3 linked regions of the Arabidopsis thaliana genome follow. The protein of the gene in region 3 interacts with the protein of the main gene of each other region in a pairwise test. Each region holds a gene or a part of one and is shown on either strand. Other genes may lie near its edges. The genes, in order: HAB2, HAB1 and RCAR3.

Region 1 (7,040 bases), on a different chromosome or scaffold from region 3:
TCATATGCATTCGTGGGGTATAACCTGTGAATTGTGTGTCCTGATGATTTCCAATTCACAGCAACAACATAGGACATTCATTCAAATGGGGACGATTCTCAAATGCGTGGATAACTCGTGTGCTAAAGAGGTGATGTGCATTCAATCCCTGAGAGGTAAGAAAGGAGCAAGACTTGGCGATATCATTGTTGGTTCAGTGAAAGAAGCTAACCCAATTGTTCAAAAAAAAGTAAAGAAAGACGCTATCCCAAAAGGTAAAGTGAAGAAAGGGATGGTCGTGTACGGTGTGGTTGTGCGTGCTGCGATGCCTAAAGGACGTGCTGATGGAAGCCAAGTCAAGTTTGATGACAATGCCATTGTAGTTGTTGGCATTAAGGAAAAGAAAGGGCAGAATAATTCACATGGTTCCAAGAGGAAAATGGAGTACAACCAACCGACTGGTACCCGAGTGTTTGGTCCTGTCCCGCACGAGATGCGCCTCAGGAAACAGCTCAAGATCCTTTCTTTGGCTCAGCACATTGTTTGAGACAATACACCACACTAAAACATCAGTTATGATCTCCTTTATGTGACTCTCTTTGATCCATTCATCACTTGGGTTTCTGTTGATTCTTCAACTATCCAACTCATTATTTTTGTTAATTCTAATGAATTATGAAACCTTAACGTACCAATTATGATCTCTTATTTAGGTTTCTTTTAATTGTTAAACTCTACTCTCTTAGTAAAAAAAGCAGGGGAAATAGCTTTAAACAACCATCCTTCTCCAAACCCTTCACTTAGTTTTCATGTTTGATACAGCATCCCTCATTAAACACTTTGGAATCAATATTACCTGTTGTATAACAATAACAATAGAAAAGACAATAATAACTCTTTCACAACAAGTATTTATATATAATAGATTACAGAAAAGTATTAAGGTGAATGTGACATAAATTTCAGTTACAATTCCTTAAGCCACATCTCCAATATTACAACAACATATCCACCTACAAGACTCCAAAGTAAAAACATTTCTTCTCTATTCTTCTTATACATAACAAACATACACATTCAAGTCCATGAGAAAAAGGAATGGACTTCAGCTATGCATCAAGGTCTTAATTCTTCTTCCCCCCAACATTTCACTTCTTATTTTTATGTAAACTTGTGGAAATTTTTTCAATAAATAAGAAATAATAAAATTATAATAGTGTAAGAGCTCGAGCATACACTGTTTCAAGATCTGGTCTTGAACTTTCTTTGAGCTTTCAAGTCGATCACTATGATTGAGATATTGTCTTTGCTTCCCATTTGAATAGCGAGTTTGGAGAGATATTCAGCCGCAGCTTGACACGCTTGGTCTTCTCCTACACCTCTCTCAGCTAAAGGCAATGCTCCATTCTTCTTGTGCCAAGCCAAGATCCGCCTCCTCGCAAAATCGCAAGCTTCTTGGTTACTCATTACGTCCCAAAGTCCATCACTGGCCAATATTAGACACTCGTCTTCTCTAGCTCGTGGCATAAACGTCACTTCGGGATCTGGTATTACAAATGGCTCCAGATATTGATCACCTGAAAACGATGCAGATTGAAACCCACTTTCAGGAGATCTCATGATTTTGCAGAGACTGTAACAGGTAGTAATGATCCTCATCTCTAAATAAGGTTACTGAATGTTTAATTTATCGATAATTTTGACCTATAAAACTCTCTTCATATTTCTGTCACTAGGCAAGATGGAAGACATAAGTGCAAGTTTGACCTACCGATGGACCTGGACATGGCAAGAACGCCAGAAACACGAGCGCCTTGCCATTGTATAACTTTTCCTCCAGCTTTCTCTATTCGTGCATACTCATCCTCTCTATCTGGCTGCAGAGAAAGGGTAAGAAATTTCATGAATTAGAAATAAGAAACTTTCTCAGATTGTGTTAAATTATTTTAGAGGGAAAGAGAAGATTTTTTACTTTGTGATCAACTGATAAAGGCATGGAGTCTTTGCCTCGGAGTAAAACTGCTCTTGAGTCACCACAGTTTGAGACTATTATATGCGATGAACAAACCAAAGCAACCACAGCAGTCGATCCAACGGTTTCAGGGGAAACAGCTTCAAGAACCATCCTATCAGAAGAACCAACAACAGGTCTGTTGATTTTCCCTTTAACCTCATCATCGACTTTTAGGTAACAATCTACAAAGACTTTCTCCCACTGGACCTGCCTACCCTCGCCAGTGTTCCTCCTACACAATTCCTCTTTAATCCGTTCGATTTCTTCAGCCAAAGCAGAGTGGATTCTATCATGGCAATAGTCAGCAACCTGCAAGAATCCGATTTCCACCAAAGCCGTCATATATTACATAACAACCTGCAAAGAATCCCGTTTCCAGCAAACCCTTTATCATATATACATACAACCTACGTCAACAAAACATAAACTCATGTATCTTCCGGGTTCATAGTTGAATTAACTTTCTACTGCTAAAATCAGTATAAGGATTTACGAACTACAGCATACCTGAGCGCCTCCGTGGCCATCATATACACCAAAGAAGTGACTAGTGAGATATGGGAGACTTGGACTCATCCCTTCATGATCCCCCATAAGCATTTTGATGGGTATTTTGAGAAAATGAGGTAAAGCTCTAACAGCATCCTCCATTTCAGATCTTCCACCGCAAATTGAAATCGTGCCCCAAAGAGGTATACACTCTAGTTCATAAACACTCCTGCTTCCTCTTGCTACATTAGGATTTTCTTCAGGTAACCTAATGACTACCTCAGAAGTTGCCACCTCCATATTCACATCGTGATTCAGACTCGCAATAAGGACTTCTGCAGTGGGAACCTGTTCTATGGTTGTCTCGTTTAGGATAATGGCCGTAGCAAGAACTCGCCCGTTATCAGTTTCAACTGTATCTGGCAAACTTATCTCAGACCTAGCGTCCACAACTATTAAACCTTCGCTAATAATAGTCGCATCAGATACTAATGGCTCATCTTCTTCTGATTCCTGGACAGTTACACTAAAATCAGAAGACAAACTTCTCACTTCAGATAAAGTCTTCTCTTCTGAAACACTTCCCATAATACAATCCACCACTCCATTACTATATCTTTGTCTTTTCTGATTACACAACATGTCAGCTGCATCAGTAACATTCTCCAGCTCGGAGATATCGAAAGTAGATGAGATTCCAGAGTCACACATCGTATTAGCTAAACCCAAAGTAAGTGCAACTGCAGGTGAAATCTCTTCCATGAGCTGGTATGCAGCTTCCAAACCTCAACTGGAGCAAAACGATTCAAAAAACTTCATTTTCTTCTCTAAGCTATAGTCTGATGAACTCTACATCCAATTCAGCTTCCCACCGAGACCCACCAGCCGTTTATTCTCACCAACTAATCCAGAAAGCAGTGAATGACGAAGAAGTATGTACCTCCGCTGAACAGATCTGACGGATCTATGAAGACGGATCCTTTGTGAATTCGTGGGATTTTGATCACTCTAACGATCCTCTATAACTCTTGATCTTCATCGAATCAGAAAGACAATAAACTCACACAAACCCTAATTTAGAAACCCACAAAAAAAAAATCAGCCTTTTTCAGATAGATCACACAAGAGAGCAGAGAGAAGACACAAAGGTGAAAACTTTATCCAAAACAAAAACAAAAGTCAGGTGAAATTGAAGAGAAGGGACAACAAACAGAGAGAATTGATATCAATCAGCGAAATGAATCACAAAACACACAGAAAAACCTAAAAAAGTCGAAACCTTTATCTCTCTTATCTTTCCAAAACGAAACGAAACATGGGTTCTCCTGGATCTAATGAGGTTTTTACCCAAAAAATAAAATTAGAAAAATTATAAGCACTCCACGGAATCCCAAGTTTCTTTATGTGACAACGACCTTCATTATTAACACGTTGCTCCAATCAATTATAAAACTAATTTATTAATCTATTCAATAATGGCAACATAGATGACGCGTGTCCTTCCCTCTTAAAGGTCAAGTCTTCTGTTTATTCTTCTAATTTAGTTTTTTGATCCAAGATTGAAAGTATGTTCATGACATATGTTCATGCATCTCATGACACATGTAGTGTTATCATAACGTGGTTAAAAAATAGACAACGAAAGACTTTTCTCGGAGACCAAAGTTTGAAATGGGCCTACATTAAGGCCCAGTCAGCGTCACTTATATGGGCTCTAGCGTCCACTTGTTTACATTAAGGTAAGAAACTTCATTAGCTCTGTCTCAGCTTTTATACTTTCTGATCAACTGATAAAGGCATGGATTCTTTGCCGCGGAGTAAAACCACTCTTGAACCACCACAGTTGGAAACTATGATATGTGATGAGCAAACCAAAGCAACAACAGCAGTTGATCCGACGGTCTCAGGGGAAACAGCCTGAAGAACCATCCTATCATCAGAAGAAACAGAACCAGAAACAGGTCTGCTTCTTCTGTGGCCATCATAAATTCCGAAGAAGTGACTAGTGAGACATGTGAGCGTTGGACTTATTATCCCTTCATGATCACACATAAGCATTCTGATAGGTAGTTTGAAAAATGAGATAAAGCTCTAACAGCATCCTCCATTTCACCGCAGATTGACACAGTGCCCCAAAGAGGTATACACTCTAGCTCATAGACACTCCACCTCCTTCCTCTTTGCTACATTATCATGATGACTTGTAGTAATAAGGACTTGTGTTGTGGGAACCGCATCATCATTCAGGATAATGGACGTAGCAAGAACTCGCCCATGATCCTCTATTCCACTTCCATTGTAGCGTCCACAACTATTATTAAATTCCACACTCGCTTGTACACGGCTGTTTGTTATACGAAAATCATTATTAGCTATATATTATATACTCCATATGGTTTCTTTGAAATATCAAAGGTCCTCCTCATCAGCGACATGAATCACACACAAAAGACAAAGTCCTTCAAACTCAAACCCTTTTGCCCTTTCAAAACCAAACAGGTTACCCCAAGATATTTAACACGTTCGTCGAAACAATTATAAAACTAATTTCAACCTTTGGATTTCCTCATGGTCTTCTTCTTTCTTCTAAAAGATCAAGACTGCCTATAATTCCAAATTTATCTAGTTTACATATATATCAATATAAGATGCCATTACACAAATCTAAAAATAAAAAATCCTCTTTTTGTCTACAAGATATGATATGGAATATCCTTTAAAGATAAGTCGTCAACTAAAATTAAAAAAATCCTCTTTTTGTCTGCCTCTCTGTTCGTTATGACTGTTTAGATTGTTGGAGAAAAGAAAAACCTTCTAATTTTAGCAAAGTGCCAAAACCATTATAAGTTTAAATTTTCTCAACAAACAAAACAGCTCTCCTCTCCTCTTCTCTTCTTAATTCCTTGTTATCATTTTCATTATCATTCGGTCTCCTTATTTCCTCCTTCTGAGGGTAATTGAAAGACCGTACCACAATGTCTTTCTAGTTTCTCCAGAAGCAAAAGTTTCCAGCAATCATCTCGAGGGCTGAGAAACAATGGCTGCAAGAAGACTCAAAGGAAAAGACAGCAAAGCAGTTACCGCCATAGCCATTGATAAAGATAAGAACAGCCAACACGCTTTGAAATGGGCTGTTGAGAATATCATCATCGATTCTCCAAACTGTATCCTTCTCCATGTTCAAACCAAACTGAGTACGTAATGGCATCATCATCATCATCATCATTGTTATCAATCCATCAATCTAATGAAAACTCTTGAAACAGGATTTGGGGCAGGAGAAAACACAGAAGCACCACATGACAACCAAGAAGAGGCGCATCAGTTCTTCCTTCCCTTTAGAGGATTCTGTGCTCGGAAAGGGGTCAGATATCAACCTCTCTTTCTCCTTACAACAATCACATATATATATATATATACACATAGCTCTCACCGACCTCATTAATTATATATTTTCTCTCAGATTATAGCAACGGAGGTTCTTCTTCACGATATTGACATCTCGAGTGCAATTGTTGACTACATCACCAACAATTCCATTTCAAATATAGTCATTGGAGCCTCTGCTCGAAATTCTTTCCTCAAGTCTCTTTCTTTCTCTCATATAACCTAAACTGTAATCTTAATCTGAATGCTAAATCCTATAACTCTCTGTGATTTATGGTCTTAATCAGGAAGTTTAAGAGCGTAGATGTGCCAACGACTCTGCTTAAAACAACACCAGATACATGTGCTGTCTTCATTGTGTCTAAAGGGAAGCTCTTAACAAGCAGATCAGCGAGTCGGCCTCAGACACCTCAAGGTCCTCACACGCCTCAAGGTCCTCAGACACCTCAAGCTCCTCAACACCCTCCTCATCCTTCAAAACATCCCTCAATGATGTCTGATCCTGGCCCAACAAGTTCCACTTCCAGTGAATCCGGAAGGTAATTAATGAACTCAAATTTTATCCGGTTGTCTTGTGAATGAATGCCTTTTTTGCTTCATAGTAGTCATTGGGTTTGCCAATCTTGCAGGTCATCTCCTGCATTGAACGGAGAATTATCTCCACCTACACCTCATTACAAGCCATCTTTGTATAGGAGTTCTATGTCAGAGCTTAGTAATGAATTTCCCAGCGATCACAGTGCTGAATCAAATGCTAGCTTCTACAGCATCCTAGGACGATCCACATATGGAGGAAGCTCACACTCTTCCATGGTTAGTATTCCCATCACGTTTCAAATCGATATTCTTACCACCTATTTGCCTGGCGTTGACATTTTTTTTTCGAATCTGTAGTCTGAGATAACTGATGGAGAGGAAAGCTTATCTGGGGGCAATATCACTGAACACCAGGTAAAATTAATGTTTCAGAAAAGTAGATATAGTGTTTCGGTTATGCTGAGTGTCAGATGCATGATTCTGAGATGTTTGTGTTCTTTGTGCATGACTATGATCAGAATCAAAATCTTGAAGCAGAAGTGAGAAGATTGAGATTCGAATTGCAGCAGTTTAATGCTTCCATGTCCAGAGAAAGTGTAAGATACTTACTTCCATGAGCACAACCGAGAATGTT
Region 2 (7,040 bases), on a different chromosome or scaffold from region 3:
TTTGATTTAAATACACTTACGGTTTCACACGTCACTTCCACATTTGTAGGTATGAGGTTGATTTCTATTTCTACTCAATTTAAGAAAAGAAATATTAACATTTCGTAAAGACTCTAAAATGTTAGATGATTAAGGTAAGTTATGGAAAATGTGATGATAACAGAAAAAAAAATGAAAAACGTGAACGGCAGGATTCGAACCTGCGCGGGCAAAGCCCACATGATTTCTAGTCATGCCCGATAACCACTCCGGCACGTCCACCTTTTGCTAAGTGTATTGCTTTATCAATACTTAACATCAAAATAAAAATCGACCTGTGGTTAAACCCCCAATAAACTCTCATCTCACCGTTAAGTTATAGAACAGCGAAGAACACAACATGAAAAGACAAATGCAAGAAGGTTAATGTGACATAGTTTCAATTACAATTTCATTTGCCACATCTCTCAAACTATTACAACATATTCAACTATTTCAATACCCCAAAAAAAAAAAGCATTTCTCTGCCTATTTCTTCTTATACATACGAATTCAAGTACCATGAGAAAAAAAGGAATGTACTTATAATTAGCTATGCATCATCTTCTTAATCTTCAGTCTTTAGTCTTTACTTCTCCTCCCCAACCCGCATTTCCATTTTTTTTCTTTATTTTTTCTCCCTTCTAACAATATTGAGTAATTAACATGTAAAAACCTGTCGAAATTAGATCCTTAACGATCTAAATTATACGAAAACTCGAAACTTACCCCCAGTAAAAAAAAAAGTAAGTAAGCGTACTGCTTGTAATTAAGCTTCAGGTTCTGGTCTTGAACTTTCTTTGAGCTTTCAAGTCAATCACAATGATGGAGATGTTGTCTTTACTTCCTTTTTGTAGAGCAAGCATTGAGAGGTAGTCAGCTGCGGCTTGGCAAGCTGGATCTATTCCTTTGCCTCTCTCTGCTAGAGGCGGTGCACCGTTCTTCTTGTGCCACATCAATATCCGTCTCCTTGCTATTTCGCAGACTTCTTGGTTGTTCATTACATCCCAAAGACCGTCACTGGCTAGTATGAGACACTCGTCTTCTCTTGACCGAGGCATGAATGTCACTTCCGGTTCTGGGATCACATATGGCTTCAGATATCTGTCACCTGCATAGTTCCAGAGGAGGAAAGAAACCGGAGGATCTAATGTTTCATGTAGGGGAGTAATTACATTATCAAGCCACGTTTGTGTGATGTGCATTACTGGTCATCAAAAGAAGCAATGCTTACCGATGGACCTAGACATGGCGAGAACACCAAAAACACGTGCGCCTTGCCATTGTATAACTTTGCCTCCAGCATTTTCTATTCTTGCATATTCATCCTCTCTATCTGGCTGCAGAAAAATGGAAGGAGGTAAGAAAACACTTTTATCAACTTTGTAAGTTAGATTGGGGAAAGAAAAGGAAGTTCATTTTACTTTGTGATCAACTGACAAGGGCATGGCTTCTTTGCCACGGAATAAAACCGCCCTCGAATCACCGCAGTTAGAAACTACTATATGTGATGAGCAAACCAAGGCAACAACAGCAGTTGATCCTACGGTCTCAGACGCAACAGCCTCAAGAACCTTATCAGAAGAACCAACAACGGCTCTACCAATTTTTCCTTCAATCTCACCATCGACAGTTAGAAAACAACTCGTGAAGACTTTATCCCACTGCACCTGCCTACCCTCTCCTGTATTCCTCTTGCATAATTCGTCTTTTATACGTTCTATTTCTTCAGCCAAAGCAAAATGGAGTCTATCTCGGCAATAGTCAGCAACCTACAAGCCATTGTAGATTTAAAATCTATGAATTTAACCAGAACATCTCAAAGAGGTGTATAACAATCTACATTGCTAAAACAACTTACATAAAATGTGAATATAGCATACCTTATGGCCTCCATGACCATCATAAACACCGAAAAAATGACCGGTGAGGTGTGTGAGGCTTGGACTCATACCCTCATGGTCCCCCATAAGCATTTTGATGGGTAGTTTCAGAAAATGAGGTGACACGGCAAAAGCATCCTCCATCTCAGATCTATTCCCTTGAATGGAAACCGTGCCCCAAAGCGGTATACAATCTAGTTCATAAACACTTCTCCCTTTCACCAGATGATTACTATTTTCATCTGGCAATCTAATGACAACCTCCGAAGTATTGGTATCCTGATTTACACCCGCGATAAGAACTTCCGCGGTGGGAACCTGCTCAATGCTTGATTCGCCTACGATAATCGCGGTTGCAAGAACTCGCCCGTTATCTATTTCCATAGCTGTATTAGACAAGCTTAATTCAGAGCCTGCATCAACAACTAACAAGCCCTCACTTATGACAGCACTATTATCCTCCACAACAGACAATACATCGTCTTCATCAAAAACATTGGAAGACCCGCTTCTCGTATCGGATAAAGTTTTCAACAAATCCTGTTCACCTACCTCTTCCAGTTCAGAAACATCTTCCATAGTGCATTCAGTCCCTCCGTTGCAAAAGCTTTGATTTTCAGAATCAGATAACAAGTCAGCTGCATCAGTAACGTTCTTTAGCTGAGTGATCTCGACAGGTGATGATTCACACATGGTGTTGGCTGCTAAGCTAAGAGTCATTGCAACTGCGGGAGTCATCTCCTCCATGAGCTCTCCAAAATCAGAGATTTCCACACCACACCACAACAAAGCTTTAAATTTCAAAGATGGACTTAGGAGAAATCAATTGTTTTCATCTTCTTCTTCGAATACTCTAAGCAATGGTTTCATGATGTTGAAGAATCCTTGCTCCAAATAAGTTTTTGTCAGCGACCCAAATGCCGCTTTATTCATACACTAACTTAGCATAGTTAAAACGACGAATCAAGGAGAATTAAGTACCGGAGATAACCAGATCTGACGAATCTATACGACGAATTCTCCTCACTCGATTATATCACTCTCTTGATCCCAAAATCGCAACAACTTCGTCGATCTTTTCTCAAATCCTTATCTTGATTTCAACCCTATTGAGAGATCACAAAGCACTAATCAAAAACTCACGAATCATTATCCAAACGGTCATGTCAAAGAAAATTCACACAAAAACCAGAAAAAGGAGGGAAAATCAGCGAAATCAATCACAAGAAAGCCCTAAAAAATTCGAACCATTAACGTCCATAATCATATAGTAGAACATGGGTTTCCTTGGATCTAAATTAAAAAAGAAGCTTTAGCTTTACCCAGAAATAGAAAGATGAATTTAAACTTTGTTCTTAAGCAAAACTAAACACAAAGCTCAAAACAACAAGAGAGATTCGACACATAATAGCAAAAATCTTCCGATTGAAAAGCTAACTACACAGAAAAACAACATAAAAAAATCAGGAAAGAAAAAAGAAGAGAGAAAGAACTAACCAGTTGATGAATCTTTAGAAGATATTCGCATCTGCAAAAAAATTAAAATCGAACAGAAGAGAGAGAGAGAACAAAAGTAAAGATGTTCTTCTTCTTCTTCTTCTTTTTATTTTCTTCCCTCAGGATTATTTCTCGCTCGAGCTAAATTGCTTAGAGAGAGGCTCTCTCTATCAGCGAAACAAAGAGAGAGAGAAGAGAATATTGTGTGGTTTGCTTTTTCTCTCTGTTTTTTTTTATTCCTTTTTTTCTTTGGTTTTGTAATATAATTTATAGGAAAAAAGAGTATTTATTACAAAAGAGGATTAATAAAAGGACACGTATTAGTCTTTGTATCATTTTGTGAACTTTGTCCTCTTTTTTTCTTCAACTTTTTGTCCTTTTTCTTTTTTTAAGGTCGCTTCAGGCAACACCTGTCGATCAGCTAACAACAACAGATGTTATTTAATTCCTTTTTTTCCCATTTATTTATTTTCAGAACCAAAAATATGTTTACAAATGGAAATTGATTTCTTTCTCTTTCCTTTTTTTAAAAAAAAAATATATCATAAAAATTTATATAAAGTAGAAAAACACTAATTATTTCCATAAAATTTTGACATGTAATATTAACCACGAAAATTAGATATAGATAAGTGAGTATCTTAGTTGTACAATCTGACGTGTAGATAAGTGAGTATCTTAGTTGTAATTTGTATTTGATATAACTGTAAAATGAATAAATTGTATTAATAGGATCAATGAAATCTTGACACGTAATATATTGGTTCAGCAAAAATTTCCCATATATTTTATTTAAACTGATCAAGTTTTAGTTTTGAAAGCTATGAGTAAGAAATAAAGATTGGTTTTATAGTTACGAACTTGTCTATAGAACTCTCTAGGTAAGAAAGAATAACACAAAATTATTGTTATCAGTAAGAATGAATCAGCCTAAAAAAATAAAAATATTTATGTATACTTTTCGATAACGTTAAAGTACAAGTTCTCACAATCAGTGTTTAATGGAATCGTCTTAAGAGTAATAATCTTTCGAGAGACGTATAAGATATGGTGATATCGCCAAGAAGAAATAAAGATGGAAGACGACAGCCCCAGAAAATTATATTATTTGGTCGTTTACCTTTTTTTCTTTGTTCTTTTTGGATACGTAAATCAAAAAATGCAACGTGTGTTTGTTTTTTTCCAAGTCAATAATCGCAATAATTTCGATTTCTACCACCCGCCCACGTGGCTACTCTGATTGATCAGGGACGAAAATAATAAATATTTTGTTACACCTCTAGATTTTGTACTCATAAATTTCAAATTCGTAGATACATATATTGCTGTTGCATTATTATCGAAACTCAAATTAAGTAAATGTGTGTAAATTGAGATGTGTGATCATGTTTAAACATAACATTCTATTCTCTAGTCTATTTTACTCTCTTTTTTGGTTCAACCTCTAGTCTATATAAACCTAAAAGACTAAACCATATGTTTGACTAGTTTTACTAATATTTTTATCTAAAAACTTTGTTTTACTGATTAAGATAAAATAATCGATTTAATATTTTGATAATGTATAATCGAATTTTATTTTAATCGAAACGCGTACATTATAGTACAAACTAGATCTCACCAGCAACTTCCCAAAAATCACTCTCTAATTAAAGATAAGTTGAGACTTGTGGAAATTTCCATTCTTGTTTGTTTGTTTCACAAGACTGTTGAGTTGTTTGAGAAATAAACCCTCCAAAATTAGAAAAATTGTAAAACCACTAAAAGCTTCATCATCTCACAATACAATTTTCTGTTTCTTTTCATTGTTCATTGTTTCTTCTCTGAGGTTGCAAAGCCAGACAAAAGAAAAACAACACAATCGATCTTGGTTGTGGGTGTTTTGTGACAAAGAAGACATGAGATCATTTATGAGTATTATAGTTTCCTTGTGAAGCAGGTTATTCATGTTTCTTGGGAAGCAAGATTCTAACATGTCTGCAAGAAGAGTTAGAAGGACCTCGGAGGACTATGGCAGTATCACGGCGATCGCCATTGATAAGGACAAGAACAGCCAACACGCCTTGAAATGGGCCGTTGAAAATATTGTTGCTGATGCTCCACAATGTGTCCTTATCCACGTTCAACGTAAGCATCTCTCGCTCTTCTCTTCATCATTGAAACCAAAACGTCAAAGAGCCACCCTAATTAGGAGTATGTTTTGCAGTAGGAGACACAGGAGGACATTTTCATCAGGACAATCCGGACGAGGCACATGAATTCTTTCTTCCTTTCAGAGGATTCTGCGCTCGAAAAGGAGTTAGTATTAATCGATCATTTCCAATCTCCTTGCAACAACATTTCACACTTATAATGCATCAAATATGATCATGACATTCTTGTATATACACACTTTTCAGATCATAGCAAAAGAGGTTATTCTTCATGATATTGACATCTCCAATGCTATTGTCAACTACATCACCAACAATTATTACATTGCAAATCTTGTTGTTGGCGCATCTGCACGCAATTCCTTCCTTAAGTCTCTCTCCTCTTCTCTGTTTCATGCTTGGTATCATCTCAACTTTGGTTATACAAAATGCTAACATTCAATTTTTCTTTGTGATCAGAAAGTTTCAGAGTCCAGATGTACCAACCACTCTGCTTAAGACGACTCCAGAGACTTGTGCCGTCTTTGTTGTGACCAAAGGTAAGCTTTTAAAAAGCAGATCCGCGAGTCACCGTCATAAACTTTCCAGACAACAAAATCTCTCTTCTTTGTTGTACAACTCAACAAACTCCATTGACTCTGACAGGTAATCTCAACTCTCTTCTAACCATTGGCCATGGTTTTCTTTTCAACAGGATTTAGTGAAGTATGCCTTTTCATTTTGTTTACATTTTTTACAGCGCATCAATATCATCACCTGTATCTACACAAACCAACAAACCAAATTCAAATTTTTTCCAACCTAATTCACCTCGCATCTCAACACCGCAATCTATGAGTGAAATCTCTCAGTCAGAGACTGACAATGGAAGTTGTGATATGGTATCAACTGTGAGTTCTTACACCGTCTCTGATAGTTCCACTACCATCGGAAGCTCGATCTCTTCAACTTCCACGGTTAGTAGTATATCGTCACTTTCTTATAAATGTTCAGTTTCTCAGTGTTCTGACATTTCCTTCTTGGTTTTCATACTGATGCACAGGAAAGTCCACTTGTCGGAAATTACGTGGAACAACAGGTAAAGCTTTTCAGGAACATAAATTTGGTCCTGGATTTGCAGAATGTCAACATGATTTGATATGGTCTATCCTTTTTGACAGAATCAAAATCTTGAAGCAGAGGTGAGGAGACTGAGACTGGAATTGAAGCAGTTTAACAAGGACAAAGACACTACAAACCAAAAAGAAAACGTAAGATACTGTTATCTTCCATGTTGATGACAATTGTTGTGAATAATAATCATTAGATATTACATTATGTAGTCCCAAGAAACCCCATGGTCAGATGAAAAAATAGAGCTGCCTAGAGCATTGTCTGATAGGGAAACGCAGAAAACGCAGTCTGCTGCATTCCAAGCAGCTGAAATAGCAAAGCGCATAGCGAAAATGGAGAGCCAAAAGAGAAGATTACTTGAGATGCAAGCCAATTT
Region 3 (7,040 bases):
ATGTTCGTATCAGAGGACTCAAAAAAGGTATATTCCAATATCTTAACAACATAGAAGTGTTTGGATGTGGAGTTCAAACATGATATGACCTGTCACTTACTTCTTTGCCTCTTTAGCTCACTGCATACCATGAGAGTGGTCATGCTATTGTCGCTTTAAATACGAAAGGTGCGCACCCGATCCACAAAGCGACTATAATGCCACGTGGATCTGCATTGGGAATGGTTACACAGTTACCTTCAAACGATGAAACATCAGTGAGCAAGAGGCAGTTATTAGCTCGTCTCGATGTATGTATGGGAGGAAGAGTTGCAGAGGAGCTCATCTTTGGCTTGGACCATATTACCACTGGAGCGAGTAGCGATCTGTCACAGGCCACTGAACTTGCACAATACATGGTAACCTCATGTACATGTGCTTAATTGCTTCTTTTTTTCTGGTTTATCAAAAGAGTTAGCCTTTGGTTCTTTTAGTTTTCTGGAATGAGGTTTGAGGGACTTAGTCTCTGAGATCCTTAAGGTGAACTTACAAGTTAATGCGAGAAGATGGATCTTACCTCTTGTTGTAGTTGTAGTAATGCTTTTCTTTTTAATGGAAGGTATCGAGTTGTGGGATGAGTGAGGCAATAGGACCAGTTCATATAAAAGAAAGACCAAGCTCTGATATGCAATCACGCATTGATGCCGAGGTAGAGACTCTCTATTCACTTTTTTTAGTTCCCTCATTCAAATCCCATTGGTCCTAAATCTAATCATTCATCTGGTGGTGTTGATACATGTATAGGTTGTGAAGCTTCTTAGAGAAGCATATGAGAGAGTGAAATCTCTCTTGAAACGGGTTTGTGCCAAGTTTACAGATAGTCGCATTTTTTACTGGATCAAAATTGTTTAATCTCACTTCGATTTTGTGTGTGTGTGTGTGTGTGTGTGTGTGTGTGTTTCCCCAGCATGAGAAGCAGCTACACACGTTAGCAAACGCACTTCTAGAGTATGAAACGCTAACCGCAGAGGACATAAAGCGTATTCTCCTTCCAAAGCAGGAAGGCGAGAAATTTGAAGAGCAACAACAAGAAGAAGGAGACTTGGTATTGGCCTAATCACATCATTCATTACCATAAACACACTTCTTTGGGTGAAAAAGGGAGATTCAAAGCTTTGTACAGAGTAAATCTCCCATAGCTTCTACAACAACAACCAAAAGAAAAACATATGAAATTATTGATCTCATGTTACAAAATTATTGTAGTTTTTATTTCATTAGCTCATTAGTTTTCGCTTCGACCTTGAACCTTTTGCCCTTTTTGACATTCTGTTCAATTCTATGAAGAAAAATGTAAAACAACATTGAAAAGAAAGTAATAATTGTTGTCTTTATTCTCTGATGTGATTTTGAAAGCCAATGAATCTTATTGCAGCTTACAAGGTCCTCTGATGAAATTACATGTATTGTTTGGAACAAAATTGAAAGAAAACATATAGAAGCAATTCTAATGATACCACCTGTCAATGTGACCGATTCGAATATTTATCCACTACTGTAATTTAGGAAAAAAGAAACAGAAACACTTTGGCATTGTAAAAATAGTATACAAAACTTTTTACAGCTAATGGAGCTAAAGTGTGTTTCCCCAATCACAAGTCAAGACAAAATCTATAAACAACAACAAAGATCTCTTTCCTTAATGGTCCTTTGTGGAGATTTTTCACATCTCACAAACCCTATTGGTTCATCTTTAAAAGTAGAAAAAATAAATATAAGAAAGACGGTGTGTGGCCTTTATGGGTGCAACTAAAAGTGTTAAAAAAGGAAGAAGAGAGTGGAACCCCATGATCACACACACTTTTAACATGTCTTCTCTGCAAATTGTAAAAAGATTCCTGCAAGTTGCTAAAGCTAAACTCCAAAATCATATTTTGGTTCTATAGAGAAGAAACCAAAAACACATTCATTAAATTAGACACATGAAATTAAAAAGAGGGTTTGAAAGTGAAATGACCCCAAAAATAGCAAATGAGAAACTTATTATGTAACTGGATAAATGATGATACTTTTTTTGCCTTGTCCATCCTCAAAGAAACTCACCCACTCTCTCTTTTTCCCTTTGAGAGCTTCATCCATGGCAACCAAAATCTCTCTGATTCAATAGTTTCTTACTCCTTTGATCTTTAGACTCTCGATTCTGTCGTGTCTTGAACCGCAAGACGTTCAGAGATATCAGCTAAAGATTTAAGATTGCATTTGATTAAAGCTTCAACAAAGTAACAAGTCTCATCCTTTGTGTTTCCTTCTGGTACATCAACCACAAATGACTCAATCACAAGTGTTCCTATTCTTCCTTCTATAGTCTCGGGGTGAAGAGAGATGATTGAAGAATAGTTCTAAATCCAAAAACAATATAGAACATATAAGTCTTTGATTCACTGTAAACAGAAAACGAACCTTTTGATTCATTGATTACCTTAAGTCTATGATCACCACCAACGATTCTGATACTGAGAATATGCTCATTGTCATCAAGTAACTCCAATCTCTCAGTGCTTCTAGTTGCTGGTAGTCCAGATTTCACATCAACTTCTCTTACTGTACCAATCTCCATGTTTCCTTTCACCACACATCTACTGATAAACGGCTTATACTTCTGTGGCTGATCAAATCTTCTCACAAGTGACCACACCTATTCACCAGAGAGATTCAAACTAATCCATAAGCGTTTTTGGGAGCTTTTTTTTCCAATAAAGCAAAACCAGATCAAACAAACTCAGATTGGGATTACACAAATGCTATGTAAGCTTTCAATAATTAGAAACCAATCGATTCTTCATCAGTAAGATCAACAATCGATGAAAATAGAGAGAGATTTCAAATTCTGGATTGAATCAACAATAAGAAGAACCGATTAACTTAAACAGAGAAAATCAGAGCGCATGAAGGAAGAAGAAGAAGGGAGAAGCTTACAATATGAACAGGAGCGTTGATATGTTTAACAAGCGTAGAGCTACACTGATTATCCACAAGCTCATGCTTATGATGTCTCCTTATAAACTCTCTTTCCTGATTCGGATTCGTCAAGTTCTCAATCCCGTTAGCTTCCATCTTCTTCCTCCGTCTTAAGCCACGGTTTCTCAATACCTCCGCGTCGGATACGACAAACAAACAAAAAACAAGGCCAAATTCGTCGCGCAGAAGAGAGTGAAAAGCAGCACAACAAAGGAAAAGATAAGATTGAGCTGAGAATCGTAAGAGATCTGATCTCAGAGAGAAGTTTTTTTCCGGCGAGATCTTCCGATGAAAGCGTTACTGTGAAGAAATGATAGATTATACAGTCGCCGTCTTTGGAGGGAGATAAGAAGAAGATGAGAGAAAGAGAAAGAGAGAGAGAGAGAGACGAATCCTCCAACAAACTTTTTTTCTCTCTCCTTTTTATAATATTTAAATAAAAAGACTCAGTGAGAGATTTTTATAAAAAAAAAGAAAAAGATTGATTGGATGGTATTGGACTAAAGGAGTAAAGGTCTTTCTCTGATTTCACTACTCTCATTGGATGCTTTCTTCTATTATCCCACTATTTTCTCTTTATTTTCGATTTTGCCCCTCGTTGTCGTTTTTCTGTGTTTTATTTACCGTTTTTAGTTTTACCCCTCAAGTGTGGTAATTATTTAATGTTGATCCTTAAAGTATTGTTTAAGCCTATGAGAGCTGACTCAATTATTGGATAGTTTTTTTTTTTTTTTTCTTGGGTGCTTTTTCATTTGGATAAAAGACTTGTTTTGACAAAAAAAAAAAAGGATTAAAGATTTTGAAATGGTTATAGATTTTTTGAAATTGTTTATGGCTTAAGTTTTTTCCAAAAATCTACTTTATAGCCAATTAAGATTGGGAGAAATGGTTTTCCTTATAAAAATAAGGAATCTAGATTTTTAAAGGAAATCTAAAATCTATGTTTCATTGGTTTTTCACTTTTTAACGCTATAACTTTTTCATATTTAGTTTCAAATATATATATATATATATATATATATATATATATATATATATATATATATAATTAATGCAAAAATCTAAAAACTATAAACCAAATCCAAAAACCACTTAATAACTTGCAAACTGTTTTCTTTTGTTAATGTGTACTTATATTTTAGGTTTTCTTGTTATTGGGATTATAGTATTAGTGGTGTACTGTAAAATGTTTGTGTATGTGTGTGTATATAGTAGAATGAATTCGATCAGATCAGCATATAGTTCGTGTACTTGACTGTGATCAGACTCAAAGAACAATTCAAATTGTCGAAAATATACTAATTTAAATTGATGAAAATACTACAAAATTTCAGAGAGATTGTTATAATGCAAACCAAACATAGGGCTTAACCAGATTATGCTCGTTAACCTTTAGCTGAAGAAGAGATAGTACACATATTATACGGATGGTCACATTACTAGGTGCATGGAGGTATATTGATGTCCCAATTAGACATATAATCACTAGTTAAAAGTGTGCTTAACACCCCCGAGCCAGACCATGATCAATGCAGATTCGGGGCCTTTGAAGCAAACTACAAAGGACCAAATCTTTTTTTAGGATTAGAACGACAAATCAGGTACTAAGTACAAATTACAAGAACTTCTTTAGGTATATGATAAAAATAGTAAACATCTATTATTCCAAGTATTAAAAATAGCTAAAATTTAATGATTATACATGCACTGCAGTTATTATGGTTATCATCCAAATTTTATTCTAACCATTTAACATCGATTGTTTCGTACGTTTTGTCAGTTCCATACCAATGATTTGTATTATGTTCTCTTTGTTTCGTCTAATCCGGTTTTCTGCATCATCACCAATTCCAGTATTCACTCTCATTCGACTCATAATATGAAGTAAAAGTTCGTAAACTATTAAGTTGGACTTCGCTTTATTTTTTCGCATTCTGACAATAGTATCTTGTTTTGATCATTTACAGTATAATATTAGTATCTTATAACCACTAAGGCCAGAATAGTAAGTATATAGTTTGATCATTTAATTTACACAATCCTTTATCCAAAAAATATATTGTATACAGTATCATATATAGGGTTTGCTTCACAGTCTTAACTTTTCCTGACTCGAAGAGCCAATCTCGAGAGAGCAAAAGGTCCCACGTGCTTTATCCAACACTCTTTATTAAATCCTGAATAAAAGTATCTCAAAGTGACAAAGATTTCTATAACATAAAAAGGTTTGGCTCTTATAAGTCATATCTAGAAAAAGAAAATTCGTTGCTAACTTTGTAACGTGCTAAAGTATTCTCGAAAATACTACTACCTCAAGATTAAAGTACACAAAAAAAAAAAATTGGATACCCATAGTTTCTTTTTAAGATTGGGCTTGGAGCTTGCAGGTGGGCTCTCAGGAATGTATATCGGAGATTTTGAGTGTGGTCAAGGAAGGTGTTGAGTTTGCCTTCCATTTGCAACCCGACTCTCAGTGCCTGACATCATTGGCATGTAAGACTGATGACTCTCTGAGCAAATAGGAAGCTCTCTGCTAATAAATAACTTTATGTATATGCTCTTGTTTGCTTGCTGGTTGCATATATAAAGTTATATAAATCCATCATTTCAAGTTTAGACATTACCACCATGAAATATCTATACTTAGATATTATCCTTTCAATCAACATAGACCATACTTCATTCATTAGCATAAACAAAACAACCAAAACACTTGTTTGATTTCTATCACTCAAGAGCCTTAATATCTTACATTAAGGACAAAGAAGTGAGTATCTCATAAATAGTAAGTCGATTGATTGGATGTAAAAGGACAATCACCTTTGTAAAGTGGGAATGTTTAGATTCACTTCATGTGTCGATATTAGTATAAATAGTATGACAACGACGATTATATATATAGAAATAGTATTATCCAATTAAATATATTAAAGAAGATGAGAAAAAGAGAGAGAGAAGTGGACCTACAAACAAAAGGTGTGGAAGAGATGAGAATAGAAAGAAAAAAATTAAACTCATAATAAAGAGACAAGTGAGGATCATGTGTTGCATCTATCTTTTGTTTTTGACCATTTCAGCTATAGAAACGTGAACACCATTAATGGCTTATGAATCAAAATCTCACACTTCTTCTTTATTCAGATACATGAGAAAAAGATGATGTGAGTCAAAAATTTCTCACTACTAGTCTACAATTTCTAAAAGTTCGCTGTTAAAGTCCTTTTTACGAAAACAGAGAACGTTGTAGCTTTGAAACAGAGATCTCAGTTGCATATAGGAGGCACAAATTTATCTTGAAATATCAAAGTTGGCCTCTTACTCAAACACAATGGCATGCCGACAAAAGTTTGATGCCTAAGTAAATGATAAGAAGACGCTGACAAGAAACAAACTTAACCAGATTGAGAGATATCAGTTGCATATATGAGGCACAAATTCTAAAACAAGGACCAAGTCGGTGCATGCTTAAATGGGCTGGTCTCAAAATGGACCGGTTTGGCCAATCACAAATTCACAACCACCAAATTCACTAAACATGACAATGAACTTCAAAATGAATGCTTCAAAGATAAAAAAAGTAACAAATAACCATAACCACCATATATATATTCGAATCCCAAACTGAGTTCTTACAAGATTCTTTCTGGTCTATTGAGTAAATACCAAAATACCAAAAAAGATTGTACATTGACCCCCCCAAAAAATATTCGAAATACTCAGGTTAATTTTTCCGGTATAGATAGTTTCTTATGCCAAAATATGGCTACTTTCTGGGTCAACCTTAAACAAAAGAAAGAAAAAATAGAAAAAAGCAAAAGATCAGACCTGACATTGATTAGTCCTGTGCCCTAATGAGATGATACGATATGTTTCTTCCTCCATTGTACACTGTACTGACTGCTACTACCTTCATACCCCCCTAATCTAGATCCATACCCACTTCTTCATTCTCTTTCACAGCTTCACTTTCCTCATTCTCTTTCAAAGCTTCACTTTCCTCATTCTCTTTCACGGCTTCACCTTGCTCATTCTCTTTCACAGCT

What was found.
Region 1: the proteins of RCAR3 (region 3) and HAB2 interact in binary tests that used the Arabidopsis thaliana proteins (3 or more experiments, as listed by UniProt).
Region 2: the proteins of RCAR3 (region 3) and HAB1 interact in binary tests that used the Arabidopsis thaliana proteins (3 or more experiments, as listed by UniProt).

What each region holds. Positions count from the first base shown.
Region 1 is NC_003070.9:6,031,121-6,038,160, reverse strand, and holds HAB2 (homology to ABI2), read right to left. Parts: upstream 3,892-7,040; 5' UTR 3,245-3,891; coding exon 2,501-3,244; intron 2,303-2,500; coding exon 1,952-2,302; intron 1,857-1,951; coding exon 1,751-1,856; intron 1,557-1,750; coding exon 1,222-1,556; 3' UTR 763-1,221; downstream 1-762. Other genes in the region: HLL (Ribosomal protein L14p/L23e family protein), read left to right, coding at 62-526; AT1G17545 (Protein phosphatase 2C family protein), read right to left, coding at 4,253-4,573, 4,652-4,854, 5,037-5,052; AT1G17540 (kinase with adenine nucleotide alpha hydrolases-like domain-containing protein), read left to right, coding at 5,520-5,676, 5,749-5,846, 5,946-6,067, 6,157-6,408, 6,499-6,682, 6,764-6,820, 6,925-7,002. UniProt on the Arabidopsis thaliana protein: Key component and repressor of the abscisic acid (ABA) signaling pathway that regulates numerous ABA responses, such as stomatal closure, seed germination and inhibition of vegetative growth.
Region 2 is NC_003070.9:27,386,606-27,393,645, reverse strand, and holds HAB1 (HYPERSENSITIVE TO ABA1), read right to left. Parts: upstream 3,699-7,040; 5' UTR 3,399-3,698; intron 3,008-3,398; 5' UTR 2,649-3,007; coding exon 1,902-2,648; intron 1,791-1,901; coding exon 1,443-1,790; intron 1,359-1,442; coding exon 1,253-1,358; coding exon of another isoform or gene 1,233-1,252; exon of another isoform or gene 1,130-1,232; coding exon 795-1,129; 3' UTR 319-794; downstream 1-318. Other genes in the region: AT1G72760 (Protein kinase superfamily protein), read left to right, coding at 5,345-5,525, 5,605-5,696, 5,798-5,922, 6,011-6,196, 6,291-6,507, 6,594-6,629, 6,712-6,801, 6,874-7,040. UniProt on the Arabidopsis thaliana protein: Key component and repressor of the abscisic acid (ABA) signaling pathway that regulates numerous ABA responses, such as stomatal closure, seed germination and inhibition of vegetative growth. Confers enhanced sensitivity to drought.
Region 3 is NC_003076.8:21,557,079-21,564,118, reverse strand, and holds RCAR3 (regulatory components of ABA receptor 3), read right to left. Parts: upstream 3,519-7,040; 5' UTR 3,094-3,518; coding exon 2,956-3,093; intron 2,675-2,955; coding exon 2,459-2,674; coding exon of another isoform or gene 2,379-2,458; coding exon 2,166-2,378; 3' UTR 1,410-2,165; downstream 1-1,409. Other genes in the region: FTSH11 (FTSH protease 11), read left to right, coding at 1-27, 117-398, 599-688, 784-837, 947-1,096; AT5G53150 (DnaJ heat shock amino-terminal domain protein), read right to left, coding at 6,917-7,040. UniProt on the Arabidopsis thaliana protein: Receptor for abscisic acid (ABA) required for ABA-mediated responses such as stomatal closure and germination inhibition.